Elephas maximus indicus: one gene and its partner. The protein of the gene in region 1 interacts with the protein of each later gene in a biochemical or structural test. Links are inferred from orthologs where the notes say so. Each region holds a gene or a part of one and is shown on either strand. Other genes may lie near its edges.

Region 1 (10,689 bases):
CACGTGACCCATTTCCTTGATATGGTTCATGAGTTCTGTGAGACACTGCAACAAATTATGGAACCTAAAGATGGGTGGGAGAGTACTGGGAGGTGAGGGATAGTTGATGTTAGAGATGATGGAGTAGAACAGAATTTGGAAAAGTTGGATATTTGGGACCTCTTTAATCTCTGCCTCATCGGAACAAGCTTTGTGCCGATCCTTATAAAAGAAATTATTCATTTAGTAGACTTTGATAAAAGGTAAGTAAACTGCATCAATAAAAGCAGTAGAATTAAAATGGACAGATTTTCAAAGAGAAATTAGTATCTGCATTTCACCTATGTACTTATCTAGACGAGAAATCGACTTTTGCTTTCCCTTGTTAGAACGATAAATGTCAAAATTACCTACCAACAACCACTACAACGAGGTTACCATTTTAACACAAAGGAGAAAAAATTACAAATTCAGCTCTACACAGTACAACTGTCTAACACAGATTCAAACAGGTAAATTTAAATTTCTTTACATATAACCCTCAATTAAGTTTCCCTTGTAAATGATGAGTCAGTAGTTTAGTGGAAAAAGAACACCAAGCTAGGAATAAAAATACTTGGGTTTTCGTTCTAGTTCTGCCACTTACTAACCACGTACCTTGGAGATTTAATTTTTTAACTTGTTTGAGCCTTAGTGTGCTCATCTAAAAAGCAACTGACCTACCTACTGCTTAGTTATCATGAGAATCAAATGATAAAATATATACAACATTGTAAAAAAAATGCAAAATGCTATACTAAGGTACAATATTTTTCTTAACGCCAGCAAAAAAGTAAAATTCATCCATATATGTGCTTTTTCTTGGACATTTTTCCTCCATTAAGTATTAGTAACTACTTCCTTGGATACTACCACAAAGAGGAATTTACTGGTTTTTCTGCTGCTTGTTACAAATATGTCATATTTTTATAGAAAGAGTAAAAAAGACAACAATCTTTCTATTAATTAAGGAATCAAAGTTTCTAGGGCTACAGAAGACATCGAATAATAATTTGGTCTGGTTCCCTACTAAAATCAGTAACCAGCAGCCATACAGTAGATTCTGACTCATGGTGACCCTATGTGCTTCATAGTAGAACTGTGCTCCATAGGGTTTTCATGGCTGTGACCTTTTGGAAGCAGATCACCAAGCCTTCCAAGGTGCCTCTGGAGAGGTTTGAACCTCCAACCCTTCGGTTAGTAGCCATGCACTTAACTGCTGTGTCACCTAGGGACTCCTTGGTTCCCTACTACCAGGGAGAAAATGTTATAGGTGCATAAAAATCAACTGTTTACTAATCAAATTATGCTTTAACCATGCTAGGAAGACTTAGCTACTTAATCCTGTGGGAGTGGGAAGGGTGTGGGGGCGGGAGGGCATTTAATAAGGGTACAGATGCTCTTACCGAAAACCTAAGATCCAAGAATCACAAAAATGTTAAAAACTAGAAGAAACCTCCCAGATTCAACCATATCCAACCGATGGTCAATCAGTCGCATTCTCTTCATACAAGAAAGAAAATCATCATTGTCAAGTGACTCGTGATGCCACTTTGCCCACTTGGTAATTGAAATACTTAAGGTAGATCATTTAGCTTCTTGGGCTAGTTTGTTCTGTAATATAAAAGAAGTAAGTGAGTCAAAATTCTATGTAAACTGTAAACCCCATCACAAGTGTGAGGAGATAAGTCTCTAAGCAATCCTCTCTGCTGTAGAGGTTCTTGCCAGGATGGGGGAAGCTGAGTTCTACCATTGTAAAAAGATTCCAGGTTAATTCTGAGAGCTGACCTCCACCCAAACCTGTCCAATGGGTTCCATGGATGAGCTTCACTAGGTTCACGGACTCCTCTGAAATTATATCCACAAAGTGCAGGTACAAATAGGGATATTCCAGTCCAGCAGATTTCTTTAGTTTCACAAAAGGTCAGTTATTCCAAAAAGGTCAGTAAACTACTGACATAAAATAACAAACATATGCTGCTTAAAAAAAGGTAAAAGCTTACATGGATATGCTCAAAATGATACCACCACTCTCCCAACTAACCTGGGTCAGAATCTTAGTTTAACATTTTACTTTCTTCATTTTTTTTCTCATCATCAAGTTCTGTCTGTTCTACACCCTTCCTCCTTTCCATTCCCATTACTGGCAAAGTGCAAAACTTTTGCTAGCTATGACCACAGCAATCGAGAGGTCTTTCTACCTCCAGGCTCTCCCTAGTCCAATTCACACTGCGGCCAGATTAGTACCACTAAAACAGAGCTTTAATCATTTCACACCCAACTTAAACATCACCTGTGAAACCTTAACCACCTACTAAATTCAAGGTCACATTAAAAACAACCCATAAGCTAGCCCAAATTTTTACTTCAAGCTTTATCACCCTCTATTCCTGTACAAAAGGTCCCTGGCTAGCATAAATGGCTAAGCATTTGACTACTAGCCAAAAGGTTGGCGGTCATGCAGTAGATGCTTAATAATTGTGCAAGAAAGTAAAAGAAATTCCAGCCAGCATGGGGTAAAGAGCAAAGATTATGATCTCTTTGAAGGTAAAAACCTTATCTGTGACATCCTCTATCATGCCAGAGGAGCCCTGGTGGTATGGTGGTTAAGTACTCATCTGCTAAGCAAAAGCTCTGCGGTTTGAACCCACCAAGCCACTGTGTGGGACAAAGACGTGCCAGTCGGCTTCCCTAAAGATTTACAGCCTTGGACACCTACTCTGCCCTCCAGGGTCACTATGAGTCGGAATTTATAGGATGGCAATGGGTTTGCTTTTGGTTATCATGCTAGGCTTCCAAAAAATGTAACTAGCTACTGCTTTTCAAAACTGTGGGGTCATAGGTCTTATAGGCAGTTATGCATTTTAAGGGAAGAACTATCTGAAAATGTTAATAAACTACGTCCCAAAGAATTTTGTGTAGCTCTCAACACTTAGCTATTAAGTTTTTAGTTTAAAAAATATTAACTATTTATAAAAAAATGAGCATTTCCAGTCACTGCTAGGTTACTACTTTATGGCTAAAGACAAATCACATGAATGAATTCTTTTTTAAAAGGTGCAATACATGGTGCACCTTGCTTGTATAATACACGTAGGGCCTTAGTGAGTGGTAAAGTGGGTTTATACATAAGTGAACTCTTGCAGACAACTGTAAACCAGGTATTCAAGGCAAAAACACAAAAGGAATAAAAAAAGATAACTTTGGACATTTTCTTGTCCACAACTATTACCAACAGCATTTTCAAGCAGACACTCAAATCTTTTTGCACACTGACCTACACAAAAAAGGTTAGACTTCTCAAAGAGAAGCAGAAACCCAATCAAGCCATTGGAAAAATATTCTATCCAGAAGTAAAAACTGCAAAATAATACTTATTTTCTTTGACAATGAAGGCGTCATATTATTACTGGAGCAAAGGAAGCTCAACTCCAAATCGATGGAGTAAAGAAAGCACTGTTCACACACTGCTAATTTAAAGGTTGTAAAAGCAATGGGCAAACTACAAAATAAAAAGATAAGAATGAAAGGAGAGGGTCCAAATCACAGATAAGGACTGTAAAAACTGCAAGGTCACTGGGACCTGCCAGGTCACAAAGGTGGAGGTGGGGGTTGTGTTGGGGGGAGGTGCAGAGCCAGTGAAGAACCGGAGTCTTAAGAACATGTCAGAAAAAGACGTTCTAAGGTTGGAGTCCTGGTTTTGAAACGGCTGAATTGCGGTGAAAGTCAGCGCACGGGCAAAAGTCCACATATTTGTGTTCAGAGGGGAGGTGTTAAGGAAAGGAAGAGAAGGTAGAAAGAAGGTGAAGTGGAGCCTGAGAACTGCGGCTGCAGGGTCACGGAAACACCTCGCTCCGCTCCAATATCAGCCAGCACAGGCCTCTGCCTCTGCCCCTACAACTCGGGGCAAGACCCGTGACCCCACCCCAGCAAACTCCCGGTCCCCGGGCTGGAGAAGGCGGCCAGGACGGCGCGGACCGGCACCCGACCGCCTTTCGAGATTCCCGCCCGGGCACTGGCCGCTCCGGGCTCCGGGACCGCAGCTAAGGCTCGGGGCCCGCAGCCGCGCCGCCCGCCCCCCGCCTCGCGGCGTCCTTACCCGGCGCGAAGCCGTCGGCTCCCGGCGGCCACGGCAGCGGCGCCTCCTCCTGCGGCGGGCGCCCTCACCCCTCCGCGCCCAAGATCGCCATCTCGCAGTAGACGCGGCGGCGACAGCCACCCAGGCGTCGGCCCTGGCAGCCCAGGCCGCCTGCAGCCTCTCGGAACCCGCACGCCGCTCTCGCCGACACCCGACCCTCCCCCCACCCCACCCCGGCCACGCGCCACCCCCAGGCGACCCCACACCTCCCTCCTCGGGAGCGCGCCGCGTGCCCGCGTCACCGGCGCCGCGCTCCGAGCGCGCGCCTCCCCGCCGGCCCCGGCACCGCGCGCTGCGCCGCGGCCACCCAAAGCCTCCAACTCCGGACCCGGAATCCGGCTTCTCGCGAGCATGCGCAGCGAGGGCGCCCCGATGATGCCTTTAGAAAACTCCGCTCCTCCGGGTCTTCGGAGCGGTCTAGTGGGAGGGCCTGCCAGAGGGAGAAGGGGGTGGGGCCTGAACCTGTGGAAGGGGCGGTGCCGTCGCCGAGATTTGGGAAGAGGTTTCCCCAAACTGGCGGCGGGTACTGCTGACTTGACTTTACTGTGCTTAGCATAACGGGGTGCGTGACCTCAAGTAAGTTCCTCGGGGGCACTGGTGTTCTTGTCTTGAATGCTTTACGGCAAAATAGGCTATTAATAAATACTCCTCGCTGAATGTTTGACACAAAACCCGTTTCAAGAGTAAATTGCTTTTAACAGATAAGTCATAGCAGAAGACCTCCAGTCCATTTTATTAGTTCTGTAATCAAAACATTACTCCCTCACCCCCACATCAGCCCAGCGTTAAAGCCAATACTTATGGAGCAAGTACGTGTGTTGGCACAATTAATCCACACAGCAATCCTATAAGGCAGACTCTGTTATCCAGCGGGGGGTGCAAATGGCCAATGCCAAAAGGTTAGTGGTTCCAGTCCACCCAGAGGCACCTCAGAAGAAACGCCTGGAGATATACTTCCAAAAAATCAGCCATCGAAAACCCTATGGAGTATAATTTCTACTCGGACACACATGTGGTTACCATGAGTCTGGGTCTACTCAACAGCAACTTTTTGTTGTCGTTATATGCACTATACAAACGAGTCAGCTGGTTTACAGGAGTGTTGTTGGCACTTGGAAGCAGATCCTCCAACCCCAGTCGAGCTTTCAGAAGAAAGTCACCCTTCAAATAGAAGTCAGTGGTGACCACATTTCTGATCAGATTACCTGGCCTTCTACTTCAGAAAGATAACAAAGGCCATCAGGCATGGAATTCTACAATTTTTGCCCAATCGCCTCACCCGACCTCCACAAATTACCTACATCCACACCCACGCTTACTTGTTTTCCTTCAGTCTCAGAGATTTGGGGCCCCTGCTCCTCTCCAAAGCCAACTTCTCCACTGGTCCCCTCCCTCCTGTGACCAGTCTTTAACCTCACCCTCTCTATTGGCTACAGCTCCTCAGTATAATCACGTTTCAGACTCCTCTGTCTTAAATTCTTTCTTGACCTTAAAACACCCTCCAGTTCTCTCCCTTCTTCCCTCATAACTAATCTTTTCAAAAGAGTTACATACAAACCCTGGTGGCATAGTGGTTAAGAGCTACGACTGCTAACCAAGAGGTCTGCAGTTTGAATCCACCAGGCACTCCTTGGAAACTCTTTGGAGTAGTTCTGTGTCCTATGGGTTTGTAATGAGTCAGAATTGACTCACGGCGATGGGTTTGATTTCTTTGGTTACGTACCAAGAACTGACACTCCATGAATATTTGTAGGATTCAATAAATATCTCTTCATGAAGGCATGCATGCACACTCCCCCTTGGTTGCATTAATTCCTGCCCTCTGACTTCTCACCGTATCCACAATGACCTCTCTAAGATAGACCTCTGAGCTTACCACTCCATTGCTTTAAATCTTCCATGGGCTTTTTCAGAACTTTTAAGGCAAAGATCAACATGACAGTCAAGAGTTCTTTATTGCCCACAAGCTCTGTTCCTCCTGTTCTGACAAACATTTTCCAGTTCCTGGAGTGTGCACACCCATCATCCCCCTGCTTTAACACATAATGTTTGGTCTGACCTTGTCCTCATCTTTTTCCTCTCCAGTCCCTTGAAACAGGTGCTTACAAGAACTCTCTTAGAAATTCCATAAAAATACCCAGTAGTGGTCTCCATCTTGAGAATGTATACAGGCCTCCTTCTGTTTGCCTGCTCCCTTGTGTCTCGCTTAAAGATTCCCCGATTACACACCGCTCCGTACAGCTCAGTTCCGTGTAGAAATATTAACCCTGGCCCCTATGTTGACACCCAATATTAAACCAGACTTTTATTAGCAAATGTTTGTGTGGCTTCAAATAACACTATTATAAATAAATATGTTTTTGTAAATCTTTATCCACATCCTTATTTACTGCCTTTGATAAAATTCCTAACAATAATCAAAAGGTATGAACAATTTTAGTCCTTTTGAAACATATTGGCAAGTTGCCTTCCAGAAATAGGCTAGGCTTAGGATCAAAACAGAGCTCTGCCACCCATGGCCACATTCTGACTTTATGGGCTGTAGGCACTTTTGCCTATGTGGGCCTCTTCCTCCATAAATTGTATTAAAAATTGTGTTTTACACAACATTGGTACAAAGACAAATATAGTGACATTATACATTAAACTGTTTTCTTCAACTTAAATGTTTATTTTTTTCCCTTCTGATTTTGAAAGAAAATAAAACATTTTTATGGGCCCCTAAAAGTATTACAGGCCCGAGGCACTGTGCCTATTGTGCCTAATGGATAAGATAACCCTGCTGCCACCTATAAATTATAAGACTTGCCCAAATTAATTAACCTGACTGGGCCTCAACTAAAAATTTGGTATAATGCTATCTACCATATGATGGCAAGAAGTTAATGAGTTGCTACATGTAAAATACTTAAGGCTGTGTAACATATAAGTGTAACACATAGTCAATAAATTATTATCGTTGTAATTGTTTTTATGAATTTCCCCACAGCACTGTATGAGAGAATATGCTTGTTCTTCTTCACTGCACTGAAGTCATCATGGCATTTTTTCTTATGAGCAAATATGGTATCTTATTGTTGGTCCATTGTCCATTTTCCTACTAGGTTATTCACAAAAGGATGCTTTGTATAATGAAGATATTGATCCTAGTTAAACCTATTAGTGTTTTCCATTTTTATTTTCTTCCTTTATTTTTTGCTTCACAAGTCCTTTTCCATTCTAAGGTCATATAATTTATCTGCATTTTTTTTTTCCCCTACTTGTTTGATAATTTTGCTTTTTCCCTTTACGTAGTTTAATCCTTTAGCATGATCTTTTATTTTCTCTAGATAGTTTTTCTCATAGTCTTCCTCAACGTGTTAGAGAATTCTTTTCTAGCTGTGGAAGTTCTAAAATATATCCACAAATTTGTCGATACTTTTCTCTTCGGAAAAAAAAACGGTTGCTGTTGAGTTGATTCCAACTCACAGTGACCCTATGGGACAGAGTAGAACTGGCCCATAGGGTTTCCAAGGAGTGGCTGGGCTGGTGGATTTGAACTGCTGACCTTTTGGTTAACAGCCATAGCTCTTAACCGCTATGCCACCAGGGCTCCTTCCCTTCAAAAAGTGGAGCCCAATTCCCAATGGATACAATATGGCAGAGGTGACTGTGTACCTTCTGAGACTAGGTCATAAAAAGGCATTTGACTTCTTACTCTCAGATCAGTCCCTCTGGGAGAAGGCAGCTGCCATGTTGTGAGAACATATCAAACAGCCCTGTGAAGAGGCCTATGTGGAAAGGAACTGAGACCTGCTGCCAACAACCGGCAAGGATCTGAGTCTCCTTGTGAGTGTGACATCTTGGAAGCAGATCCTCCAGCCCCAGTCAAGCCTTCAGATGACTGCAATCCCAGCTGACATCTTGACTGCAACTTCAAGAGATATCCTGTACCAGAACTACTCAGCTATGTAGCTCTCAAATTTCAGATGTGTAGAAACTGTGAGGTAAAAAATGTTTATTGTTTTAAGCCACTAAATTTGTTATGCGGCAATAAATAATAAATACACTAACCCAATGGCTCTCCACAGGAACAATTTTGCATTCCAGGGAACATTTGGCAGTGTCTTGAGACATACTGATTGTCATAGCCCGGGGTGGGGTTGCCAGTGGCATCTAGTGGGCAGAGGCTAGGGATGCTGCTAAGCATCCTACAATGCACCGGACACTCCCCTTCCACCTCTACCCTCCAGCAACAAAGTTTTATCCAGTATAAAATGGCGATAGTGCTGAGGTTGAGAAGCCCTGCACTAACCTAAGTGTCCGTTCCCCTCTCCTACCTTAAAAGTTTCCTCTTCTGCATGTGTTTGTGAAAGGGTAGGGGTATGCTTCATATCCATGGCTCATATTTTTTTTTTTTTTTTTTTTTTTACTGCCTTACATGGGATTTTTTAATATTGGCCTTATATGCTAAAAAAAATTCACTTATTAGTTCTAGTAATGTTTTGTCAATTTCTTAGAAGTTGCCATGTATACAATTGTGTCTCTGTTAATAAAGAGAGTTGTATTTCTTCAGTACTTAACAGATATAGTGAGAAAGGATATCCTTGTCTTGGTCTTGTCCTGTTTTATTAGCCGATAGAAATAAGATGGATACCACACCACCAGTTGCAAGGGAAACAAAGTGGAAATTTATTGCTTGCACAAACAAGGAGCAAGGTGAGGTCTGGCAGCCAAAAGACCACAGGCTCCCAGCCCCGGGGGAGCTTGGAGCTTTTATGCCCTCCAGTCCCTAGGGGGTGGGATTGGCACCCCAAATCCAACACCCCAGTCCCTCTCATGTCCATATTTGTCAATCCAGGGGCTGAGTCATTTAGCAAAGGAAAGGACATCTTGCTTTGCAAACAGGCTTGGTTGCAGCTGTGTGCAGGAGAACATCTTCCTCTCTGGCGAAGGTCAAGTCCAAGGTCAAGTTCGGGGCCATGGCTTTTCAGGTCCTGTGCATGTGCCAAGATCTTTGTTTGTGCATGTGTGGGATTTCGGTGCCAAATTCAAACCATGATTAGGGTCTGTGGGCCAGGTCGCAGTTAGAAACTGCAGGGAACCGTGAAGGAGCAGGGTAAGCCTCTGCAGGGGCTTCAATAAGGGAAAGCATTCAGTGTTTTATCATTAAGAATAGTATTATTTGTAAGTTTTTTGTTTTATACTCTTTATCAGGTTGACGAGGTTCTCTTCTTTTCCCGGTTTGCTGAGAGTTTTTCTCATGAATGAGTTTTAAATTTTTATCAAATACTTTTTTTTGTTTGTTATCTATTGAGATGATTGGTTGTTGTTATTGTTTTCATTTTTAAACTATTGGTATGATGAATTAACTTGATTTTCAAATGTTCAACCAACCTTACATTCCTATGCTAAATCACAGTTGGTCATGATGTGTTACCCTTTTTATTATTGCTGGGTTCTTTTTACTAATTTTAAAAAAGATTTTAAGGGACCTAGTTTTTTTTGTTTAAACTTATGAGAGATATTGTTCTGTAGGTTTCTTTTCTTATAATGTCTTCGTCTAGTTTTGTTATTAGGATAAGACTGGTCTCATAAAATGAGCTTGGAAGTGTTCCTTATCTATTTTCTGAAAGAATTTGTGTAAAATTGCTATTATTTATTTCTTAAACGTTTGAAAGTTTTCGCCAGCGAAGATATCTAGGCCTGGAGTTTTCTTTGTGGGAAAGTTTTAAATTATGACTTTAAATTCTTTATTAGATATAAGGTGATTTGAATTTTCTATTTCTTCTTGTGCCAGTTATGGTAATTTGTATCTGTCAAGATATTTGTCCATTTCCTCTAAGTCATCAAATTTTTTGGCCTGAAGTTGTTCATAATCTCTTTAATGCCTTTTAATATACTGTAATATCTGTAGGACTGTAGTGATGTCTCATCTTCCGTTCCTAACATTAGCATTTTTATAATACTAAAATATTAGTATTATATTTTTTACCCGATGAATCTAACTAGAGAGGTACATTGGTTTTATTGGTCTCTTCAAAGAAGATGCCATGGTTTCATTGTTTTTTGCGTGTGTTGTTTGTACATTTTCTATTTCATTTCAGCTTTTATGTTTATTATTTCCGTGTTTTTATTTATCTTAGGTTAATTTGCTCTTCTTTTTCTAGCTTCTTCCACTTAGGGTAGAAGTTTATATTATTCATTTAGGGCTTTTCTTCTTTTCTAACACAAACATTTAGAGTATAAATTTCGTTCTGAGCCCTGCATTAGCTGCAGTCTAAAAAAATTGATGCATTTTACAGTGAAACTTGTGAGAGCCAGAACTTGATGAGACTGCCTTGTTTTTCTGGGTTTTGCAAGTTTCTGCTTTTGACAGGATACATCTTACCACTTTTCTGCTGCTTGTTTTATTGAAAAGTATTTGAGTTTTCCTTTTCTCACAGGAAACCCTGGTGGCGTAGTGGTTTAGAGTTTGGCTGCTAACCAAAAGGTCAGCAGTTTGAACCCACCAGGCACTCTTTGGAAACCCTACGGGGCAGCTCTACTCTGTC
Region 2 (10,657 bases), on another chromosome or scaffold:
CTCACTGTCTGTACCTAAAAGCCCTAAACAAAGGCCATGCCCCCAACTTCTCCAATCCCTAGTTCTCCCACAGGAACCCCCTCACCCTCTCCAGGCGGGGCGGTCGCTGTTTCCTCCGCCGCCGGTGGCGCTTGAGGAGGCGGGAGGCACTGCTCTGCTCCGTGGAGCTGCTGAACCTGACAGGAGGTTGGGAACGTGTGATGGTTAATTTTATGTCAACTTGGCTAGGCTTTGATGCCCAGTGGTTTGGCCAAATACTAGTCCAGCTGCTTAGGCTATGGTCTGCCTCTAGACTATAAGTATTTTGGCAGAAATTGCTCTCTCCATTCTGCACTCTTTCCACCAGCCTATTACATGCCCCAGATTCTGGACTTGCCAACCGCCCACAATCCCATGAGCCTGCAATCCTATGAGTCTTCCGTCTGTCACCAGACCTCCAGGCTTGCCAGTCCCGCACAACTGCACGAGCTAAACCCTTTAGCTAAACCAATCAATCAATCGCTCTGTTACGTACGCACATATGTACGTAAATTCATCTCGGTAGTTCTGTTCTTCTAGAAGGGGAACACTTGCAAGCAAAAGAGGTTATGGGGCCAACACAAAGAATGACAACATTGACTGGGAGGAGGAAAGAAAGGGGGCTGGGAGCCCTGGGGAGAGCCCTGGGAAGTCATACCTGCTCATGGTGTCATCCTCATCTGAGTCCCCCAGGCTGGTGCTCTCCAGCTCACTGGTCATCAGGGTGGAAGAACTCTCATACCCTGCTAGGTGGCGCTCCAGCCTCGAGGGGCCACTGGGCCTGTGGCCCCCACCTTAGTATGAACAGAAACCTCAGGAATCATGCCTCATGCTCCTTACACCCATCAAGGCCAGGGTCTGGCCCCACCACTGCCCAGCTCCTGCTCTGCCCAGCCTCCAGAGCCTGGCCCCCTCACCGCCGTGCTCACTGCTGTCTCTCCTACGAGGCCGCTCCCGCCTCAGAGACACGACTGACTCTGTTTCTGTCTCTGGCTCCAGGTTTTCACGGCTGCTGGAGACGTTAGGGCTGGATGGGCAGAGATGGTTTCCACCCCCATCAGTGGGGCAGGACTCCAAATCCTCCATTCCCCTCCTCGGGGGCTAGCATCCCCACCTCATCTCCTCCCCTGGACTCAAGAATGCCAGGAACTCACTGGAAAGATGGAGGCCTGGAGTCCCCAATGCCACTGGTCCTCTCTGGTGGCAAAGGGGGTAGTGGTGGAGGTGGAGGCACCAGGTCTGTGCGAGGCTCATGGGCTGGGGGAGCCATCTCGGGTTGGGGGTTATCTGATGACACTAGCTAGAAAGATGCAAACAATACGAAATGGATCTATTCAGAGGTGGGGCATACGTGATGGAAGAGAAAGGATTAGAAAAGGGGACAAGGTCTGAGAGAGCCTGGAGAAGAGCCCAAAAAAGCAGCAGCTAACAGGAGGGGCTCCAGAAGTGGGCTGAGGGGCCCCAGCCAGCTCTCCAAAAGAGTAGGAAGGCAAAGCCAGGGCTTCCACAACCAGGCAGGGGCAGCCCTGCAGAAACAGAGTGAGGCTTGGTGGAGCTCGGCAATGCAGAAGGCACTGGGCCCTCAGAACCAGGGTCCCTTACCCAGGACACCACCCTTCCGTTGAAGCAAGGAAGGCGAGCATTGTCGTCGGAAATTTCTTCCTTCACCACTCTGCCGAGAGACCAGATAAAGGTCAGTGAGGCTGGACTAGCTCTCTCACTCCCTCCCCATTTCAAAATTTCTGCCATTGCTCTATCTTCCTCCAGCTCAAGCGAGCTGGCTTTCCTCTCTTGTCCAGGCCCTCTTCTCTTACACTGAAACAGCTCCCTCCTACCCGAAAACTCTCCAAATTCAATTCCCTTCTCTAATCTTTCTTTCTCTTCCCAGCTCATCCTCAAGGGCTCAGTGCTGCTCCAAAGACTTCCCTCAGTCTGATTTAAACCTTTCCACCCAAATGTAAAGGCCATCTTCTATGGTTACCCCCCAAACCAAACCCATTCCCACTGAGTCAATTCTGACCCAAAGAGACCCTGTGGGGCAGAGTGGAACTGCCCCACAAGGTTTCCAAGGCTGTAACCTTTACAGAAGCAGGCTGCCACATCTTTCTCCCGCAAAGCAGCTGGTGGATTTGAATGGCCAATCTTTCAGCAAGCAACCAAGTGCTTAACCACTGTGCCACCAAGGCTCCGTCATGGTTACCGCAGCAGCTGAAAATATCTTTCTAACCTAAGGAGCCTTGCTGGTAGATCCCCCAGCCTCCATCTCTGCTCTTCGTACACCTTCTTCCCAAAATGGCTTTGGTCCTCACCTACATCTCCTTCACTCATGCTTTCCTTCAGTTTTCTCTAGCTCACTTCCAGAGATCTAGCCAAACATGCTGTCTTTGCCTAGATGAAAATGCCCGTTAAACCAAAGACTAGTTACCTCCTCATTAGGCTGAAAGCCTCAAGGAGGAGGGAACCCATCTTCTGATTCTCCTGTGCTTCACCTAACACAAAACTCTGCCCTAAGCAATCTACTCAAGACGGAAAGGTCATCCTGACAAATCCCGAAGTCCAGCCTGGTGAGTTAGTTCTCCCTTGGGTTCCTTAAGGCGAATTAGGCTTAACCTTCTTCTCAACCCCCACATCAAATCATTAATGTCTATTCCGTTCAACACCATGTTCTGACCACACAGCACTGTACACAACATTTATTACGTACTAGCAGATATTTGGCTAAATGAATATATGAACCATGAGACTGTCTACTTTGGTTCCTCTTGGTTCCTCCTCTCTCAGGCACATGCCCTCGCACCAAAATTAGAGTATCCTGTCTTCACCTAATATGGTTTTGTGAGCCTGAATATATGCCAACTCAAGCCATTTGCTATCAGAATGTGACCTGGTCCATGTCAAAACAGCTCGGTCACTACCAATCTGTCTCAGAATAATGTCGCTTCCTTCCCAACTTAACCCAGTCTCAACATAACCGAGCCTACTCCAAAATGAGTTATTCCATAACCTAGTTTACGGACTAGTCAGCCTCAGTTCTAATAATAACTACCACTCGGTGAATATCCTGGGCTGTACACCTTTGCTAAACGTTTTACTCCATCTCACAGGTGAGGAAATCAAGGCACAAAAGTTCAATAAATTGCCCAAAATTACACTGCTGACAAACTGAAGAACCTTGATTGAAACTCAGGATAACTCCCAAGACAGGACCACTCTCCCAAAGCTAACCACTCACTCTAGGTAGCACCCAGGCTATCCCAGCCTAATCCAACCTGCCTTCGGAAAAGCTGAGGCTGAGAAAGTAGATGGCTCAGTCCCAAAAGCTCTACACACAAAAGGATTTACTTCGCATTATTTATAGTCCCAATCTAGCCCAGAATAATCCAAAATGTTCCAAATCACTCCAGGTTAGCTCTAGCACAGCCTAGAACATGCCCACACATAGCTGTCTGCAGCAATATAGACTAGAAATTCTCAATAAAGCTCCCTGTATTAGTACAGACCCCCAACAACCCTGTCTGCTCCAGTACTCTGACCCAGTAAAACCACGTCTGCCCCAATAGAAACTAGAACAACCAATACAACCACGTCTGCCCCACTAGAAATGGGAATGGTCTAAGTGTCTCCAGGAAACCCTGGTGGCGTAGTGGTTAAGTGCTACGGCTGTGAACCAAAAGGTTGGCAGTTCAAATCCACCAGGTGCTCCTTGGAAACTCTATGGGGCAGTTCTAATCTGTCCTTTAGGGTCGCCATGAGTCAGAATCGACTAGACGGCACTGGGTTTGGTTTTTGTTTTAAGTGTCTCCAGAATAGCCTACTCCACTTCAGGACAGCCTAAAAGATCCCAGTACAGTACTGTCTGTATCACTATACACAAAAACATCCAATATCTGGACAACATCATGCTTTACAACGCAGAGAGTCAGCGAAAAAGAAGATCCTCGATGAGACAGACAGACACAGTGGCTGCCAACACCTGGCTCAAACATACTACTGTGAGGATAGCACAGAGCCCACTAACAACTCGTTCTGTTATACACGATGTCATTATGAGTCAGAACCAACTTGACAGCACCTAATCACAACAGAATGTCCAAAACAACCCTGTGTGCCCTAATACACACCAGAATCCCCAAAATTGCCCCAAGGCCGGCCAATCTACATCAGGAGATAAAAGAATATCCCTAAATAGCCTGGGTGCTACAGAACTGCTCAGAATATACTGAACTACCAGAGGACAGACCCACTTGGCTCAGTACAGTCCAGAATACCCCCAAATAAACCAGTTCGCCCTAATATATTTCAGTACAGTCTAATCTTCTGTAATCTAGTTTAGGATAGCCCAGTCTGTCCTACAGCTCCGTGTGCCTCAACCTTGTCAAGCACAATCTCGTTGGTCCCGGGATAGTCAATCTACCCCCAGCTTAGTACAATCGACTCCACTATCGACCAGAAAAATCCCAATATGCCCCAGAATAGACCTGGGCCCTTCAATATCGCCTAATCCACTCCAGCACAGCCCCCATCAGTCTAGGCCTCGCGCTCACCCGAAATCCTGATCCATGGACTTGAAAAAGTACTTGGCTCCCGCGGGCCGCTGCAGGACGCTCTTGAAATCGCCGAGGGTGATGCGCTCAGCGGGGACGGGGATCTTCACTAGATAGGGAGTCTCTTCCTCATCCAAGTGGTAAATCACCTTCGTCTCCCCGACACCACCGCCCCCCGCGCCGCTGCCCGCCATGGTCTCGCCCGCGCGCTCCTGTGCTCCGCCGCCCACCCAAAGGGGCTAAGCACCCCCGCCGCGCCTGCGCACAGCCGCACACTGACGCGCGGGCAGGCACAGAACCGGACCAGTCCCCCAGACGTGCCCAAGGGATGGAGACGGTCGGGGTCAGACAAGCGGACAGCCGGGGCGGGGGCGGGCCGTGGGGGCGCGACCTAAAGACGCGGACTCCGCCGCCGCCGCGCGCCACTGCCGCCGACGTCGCGGGCGCCCCCCAGTGCCCCGCCCACCTCTGCTCACGTCACGTGGCCTAACTCGGCCCGCCACGCTCCCCCCGCACCGTCCCTGGATCACGTGACACTTCCCAGTCACGTGACTGCGTAGCTCCGCCTCGCGCCCCTGCCACGTGATCGCTGCCCTCAGCAACGGTCTCCCAACCCTCAACTGCCCCGCCCCCGAAAGTGTCCCCACCCTCGTCCTCTGAGCACCCTGGCTGAATTGGGCCTCTGCCCTCAGGCAGCAGGCTGCCAGTCCCACCACACCTGGGAGCGCGAGGCAACTCTGATCCACTGGAGTGTGCGTGTGGGGGTCCTAAGCAGGGAGTGGGATGGGGCAATGCCAACTGAGGCCTGAGCATCCTGGGTGGGAAAGGCCCAGGAGCAGGGGCGGTTCTAGCTGGGACTCTGAGGCGTTCTCCCATCTTTCCCAAAACCTCCCTCCGATGCAGGACAGTAAGGGCTATGAACACAAAAGAGCCCACTCCGCTTTATTTACAACACACGGGCCATCTGTACAAACAGCTAGCCGATATTATTAAAAACAAGAGATGAAAGAAATGTCACCTTTCTGCTTTCCTTCCCCTCTCGGCCAGACTTTGGTACTCCACCTTTGAGCTGCCATGCCCAAAAGGGGAAGTCCAAAATTAAAAATACAACCGGTGTATAAGAAAATAAATGAGGAGTGAGATAGGAGAAAAAACGATGAGGGAAGGGGGTGCTAATATTTACACTAGAGTTTTATAGACAGCTGCCCCATTCCTTCCCAATTCCAACCCTGACCCAAAAAGTGAAGGATGGCAGGTCCAATGGGCAGGGATTGTGTGTCTAGGGACCCAGACAACCTCTCGCCCTCAACTGCAGTGGGTCCACGTTCAAGTCCAGATGTTGGAGGGGGAGGAGGAAGGGGAGGATGGGAACATGAGACCCTCATTTCCAGAGCAAGTCTCCCTTGGGAGTTCCTGCCTTGAAGTGGGACAATGTCCAAGCTTCAGGGGATGGGCTGAGGACCCCAAGGCTCAGTTCCCAAGTCATGTTGTCAATTAGAAGTTCCAGCCTGGCACTGGTGATGTCAAGGCTCTCCAGATTTCGGAGGGCCCCCTAACCGCCGCGCCTCTGGCCGAAGTTCCTTGCATTTTTGGCAGTAAAAGAAGTCAGGGACATTGGTCTTCTTAATCTTAGCACAGGAGAGGTGGATCCACGTCCCACACAGGCTGCACTCAATCATGGGCCGTCCTGCAAAGGGCTTTCGGCAGTAACACGTGATCAGATCCCACGAGTCATCACCTGGGGAAAAGGAAGTTTGATATTCTGCTTGAGTTTTTAAGTCCACAACACCCCCAACTCCATTCTCCCAGCTACCCTTGAACAGCTCTCAACCCCCTTACCTGATTCTACCATGATGTCCTCATCCATGACCCGCATCTCGCCTTCACTAGAGCTGGCATCTCCATCTTGGCTTGTTTCAGTGCTGCCCACCTCCTTGCTTTCACTGTCAGTGGGAGGAGCTCCTTCAGGGGGCCCTGTAGCAGGGGGCCTAGGAGCCTCAGGGGGTGTTGGGAACACAGGGGCTGGGGCTTCAGCCCCTACCACTGCTGCCATTTCCTCTTCCTCTTCTTCTTCCTCTTCCTCCTCCTCCTCTTCAGAGTCTGTATCACTGGGGGGTGCCCGGGGAGGCCCAGGAGGTGGGAGTCTATCCCCTCGCTCTGCCTTTTTCAACTTCCGTTTCTTGCTCTTCTTGATTCGAGACCTCTTTTCCCCATCGCCAGGGGTTGGCCGAGGTCTCCGAAGAACCCCAAAGCCAGCCCCACCTCCTGGCCCCAACTTTCGGTTCTTTCGGTCCTTCTTTCGAGGAGGCTGGGTGAGATCCCCCTGAGAAAGGGGCACTGGGGTGAGAGGAACAGGGGGCCGGGATGCATGTGTCAGGGATGTGGGGGACAGGGGAGATGCCACTTTGGGGCCATCTAGATCAAAGAGAGAGTCCTTGAGCTTCATCTTCTCAAGCAGGGTGGCACTGTCAGGGGCCTGAAGGCGAGAGAAAGTGGACCTTGGAGGTCCTGGCTGGGTGGAACCCGACTGGGCTGCCCTTCTCTTTGATGACTTTGCTTTCTTAACAAAGGTCTGGATGGTTCGGAGATCTGAGGGGGCTGAGTCCCAGCCATCACTGTCTGCTGCACTCTCACCTCGCAATGGGGAGCTGGAGCCGGAGGCTGGCCAGTCACTTTCCTTAACAGGGAAAAGAGACCAGAGTCAGCAGGGGGCCCAGTGGCGTTTAAGCCCCTCCAGAAACCCAACCTGAAAACCAGGGACTAGATCTCCCCCAAAATATCCTGCCCCAACCAACAAAGCTCACTCAGAAAATTTATCCAGACCCCAATTTCTATCAGCATCTGTTCTTGAGCACTTCCATGTTACCTCTGTTTTCAAATTCTAACTATCTGCTCCTTACCAGGGCCTTTGAAATACTGTATTCCCACAAATCAGAGGCACATTTCTTAATCTACTTTTGTACTGCCTCCTTTGTTACCATTTTCACCTCCCTAAAACTCATCCGGAAACACCTTCCATTAACAGTACCCCCAAAACCATTTCAAAATCTTGACTAACAACCCAAGAGCCCCTTCCATCACTGTTACCCAAGCCACCTATCTCTATTATCCTCCCCCGCAAATACTCGTTTTCCCAACAGAACCCTCACGTTTCCAATTTCTCTAGTCTTACATATATAACTAACACAACCTCATTTACTCAACAGCCCTTCCAAGAATCCAAAGACACCATCCTCAAACCAGTTATTCTCCTGACCCTACCTCTTTGCTAGGAGGTATGTAACCAGCATAGGCCAAAACAAAACTGCAAAATTTGTTGAAATCTTCAATTGTTCTCCGCCGTTTCTCTGGTGGCTGAAAAGAAGAAAACAAGGATCACACTGAGGGCACAGACTGGAGTTTTAAGAGAAGCATCCCCAAAGGCGGAATCCCTAAAGTGGGAAAGCTAGAAGAGATGCATGGGGGGTGGGGGAGAGCATAAATACTGATGTGTAAAGGTAGGGGAAAACTCACCTGAGTCTCTGGCTTAAGGGTCGGAGGTGGATCTGTGAAAGCAATAAAAGCTGAGTCAAAGCCCTGGAACAGTCCATTTAAAATCCCCACCTCTAAACCTTAGAGGTCCCAAGTGAACCCCCTGTTCTCCCAGGTCCCCCAGCCAGTCGGCAGGCCCCCAGCTGTGCCCGATCGTCCCTGCTCCCCTCCCGTCCCACAAGGGGCGGAGCCTGGGCCCGGGGCCCTCCCAAGCCTCGTTATAGCGCTCCTCTTCCCCCTACCGGAGGCCGGGAGCCCCGCCTCCCCCCCCCAAACTCACGGTTTCTGTAGACTCCAGTCTACTCGGATCTCTTAACGCCCCACCCCACCGTACAGCTCCTAGGGCAGAACCCGGGCGCCGCCCGCCCCGTCCTTCACAAGGCGACCGTGCCGAGTTCCTACTCAGGCGCACTCTACTGCCCCGAGCCCTCTGGAACCTCACGCCATCCGCCGGCCCCCCGAGTCCGGGATGACCACGCTGAACCGCTCCCCGCCCTCCGGCCCCTTCTACTCGAGCACGAGGCCCGGCGCGCCCCTCACCCTCCACCCCAAACCCACACGCACGCACATTCAACGCTACTTTGTGTCCGGGACGGACCAGCGAGCTCTAACCCGGACGCGGCCCCACCTGCCCCCCCCATACCGCGCTCCCCACAATTTCGCCCTCCCTCCGCCCCCATCCGGGGCTTTGGCCCCTCCCCGTCTCGAGCTTCTTGGGTTCCCCGCCGGGCCCCCGGGCCCTGTTCCGAGCTCTCTCCGGCCGCCTTCCCTCCGCCCCCGTACTCACCAAGTCACTAGGCTACGGACCCCTAAACTCTAGCTTCCCCCCACAATCAGCGACTCTCTTCCTCCACAGAAACCACCACGACCGCCCCCCATCACCCTCCGCAACTCCCAGGCTCTAACCCTCGCCAGTTCCCCCTCCCGCGACTCGCCGGTCTTCACCCCCCTCCGATCCCACCGCCCTCTGCAACTACCTAGCTCTCCTCGCTTCCCGGCCCTCTCTCCACAACTACCCCCGTTACAGGTCCCCTTTCCGCAGACAATACCAGGCCCCCCTTTCCCCCCACAACTACCTGCCCAACCCTCCAGCAATCACCCGGCTGTCTCTGGCGGCAACTACCGGGAGCTCGGGAACCACCACCACCAACTCCCCCACCTCGGCGAACTACCGCGCCCCTCGCTCAGCCCTCTTCCACGTCCTCCCTGCCCAACAACTCTCGGCTCCCAGATTCCCCCAACCTTCCAGCTCCAAGGCCCCAACCTGCCTGCGGCCCTTTCGGCTCCTAACCCCCGAGGCTCCGGGTTTTCAGTTCCCACCCCCCACCTCCCCCCCACACACAGCGTCGGATCTCCAACTATCCCCAATCCGGTCTCCCACTCCTCTTCCTCCAGCATCTCTCAACTCGTCGCTCTTCACCCCCAGGGCCAGGACCCCGACCCCCACCCCGCGCTCCCCCGCTGGGTTCTGGGGCTCGACCTCCAAGTTTGCCAATTGATTCCTGGCCCGCCCCCCACCAGCTCAGCGATCTGTGCCGGTCGAGAGCTCACCTTCGGGACTGGGCTCCGCCATGGCTTCCAGCATCGCCCCCTCCCCTCCTCCCGGTCCGGCGCCCCCCTCCCCTGAGCCGGGGATCCCGGTGCCGCCTCCGGTGCTCGGTGCTCCTAATGACTTGCTCCACGGAGGTGTCTGCCTCAGTCCGGTTGTGACTCGTGTCCGCTAGCCGTTGCCGCTGCCGCCGCCTCCCTCAACCACAGCCTCCCGCACTCCCGGACCGGGCCCCCTCCCCCCGCGCCGCCGGCCGCCTGCTCTCTCCTCCTCCTCCTCCCTCCCTCCCTCCCTTTCTCTTCACCCTCCCTCCGCCGGCGCCGACGCGCAATGCACAAAGGGACTTGTGGTCTGTCCTAACACAGCGGAAAGGGGACTGCATAAGCCTCAAGGACTGCAGTTCCCAGCAAGCCACGGATTGGCGCATGCTCACTAAGCGCCTCCTCTCCTCCGTCCCCGGGAGTGGCGGGGAGATTGGGAGCTAGAGGGTAGAGCGGAAAAGCACGCGCAGGGCCCTGGGAAATGTAGGCGGGGAGGGACCAAAAAAAGATAAGGAAGAAGGGATTAGAATTCTCGGACACCATACTGCCTCATTCCGCTTCGTCTTTTTCCCCCGAGAGACCGCCCCATTTCCGGCCAGGCGGAGAAGAGGTTGCCGGGAGACGAAGTTCTCCTGAGGATAATGGCTCCCTCCTCCCGCTGAGCGCCCACCCTCTGCTTCCACTCCACAGGATCACACACACCTGCACAAAATCTGGCCAGGTGACATGCAACTGAGGATAGAGTTCTTTTAATAGCTCCCACAAACGAAAATCTTCTCCATAATCCAGATGTTTATAACAAACTTGGATGGGGTTATCTAAAGCAAGTGCTTTCAAACTTTCTTCACAGGAACCCACGGTAAAGGAAAAAATATATATATTTTTTACATCAGGACCCAATACACACGTATATAAAACTGAAGTTTCATGAAATGATGGAGTATTCCTTCCATCAGATAGCATAACCAAAGCAC

The links. The genes of interacting proteins can lie anywhere in the genome.
Region 2: the proteins of WWP1 (region 1) and DVL2 form a complex in vitro, tested with the Homo sapiens proteins (2 studies listed by BioGRID, with this or other methods). The link is inferred for Elephas maximus indicus from reciprocal best matches to the Homo sapiens genes WWP1 and DVL2.

The regions. Positions count from the first base shown.
Region 1 is NC_064833.1:55,408,834-55,419,522, forward strand, and holds the start of WWP1 (NEDD4-like E3 ubiquitin-protein ligase WWP1), read right to left. Parts: upstream 4,321-10,689; 5' UTR 4,118-4,320; intron 4,112-4,117; exon of another isoform or gene 1,425-4,111; intron 1-1,424. UniProt on the Homo sapiens protein: E3 ubiquitin-protein ligase which accepts ubiquitin from an E2 ubiquitin-conjugating enzyme in the form of a thioester and then directly transfers the ubiquitin to targeted substrates.
Region 2 is NC_064837.1:13,617,668-13,628,324, reverse strand, and holds the start of DVL2 (segment polarity protein dishevelled homolog DVL-2), read right to left. Parts: upstream 5,014-10,657; 5' UTR 4,757-5,013; coding exon 4,563-4,756; intron 1,691-4,562; coding exon 1,621-1,690; intron 1,319-1,620; coding exon 1,173-1,318; intron 1,046-1,172; coding exon 936-1,045; intron 813-935; coding exon 677-812; intron 177-676; coding exon 86-176; intron 1-85. Other genes in the region: PHF23 (PHD finger protein 23), read right to left, coding at 6,086-6,300, 6,402-7,239, 7,824-7,916, 8,076-8,107, 9,645-9,678.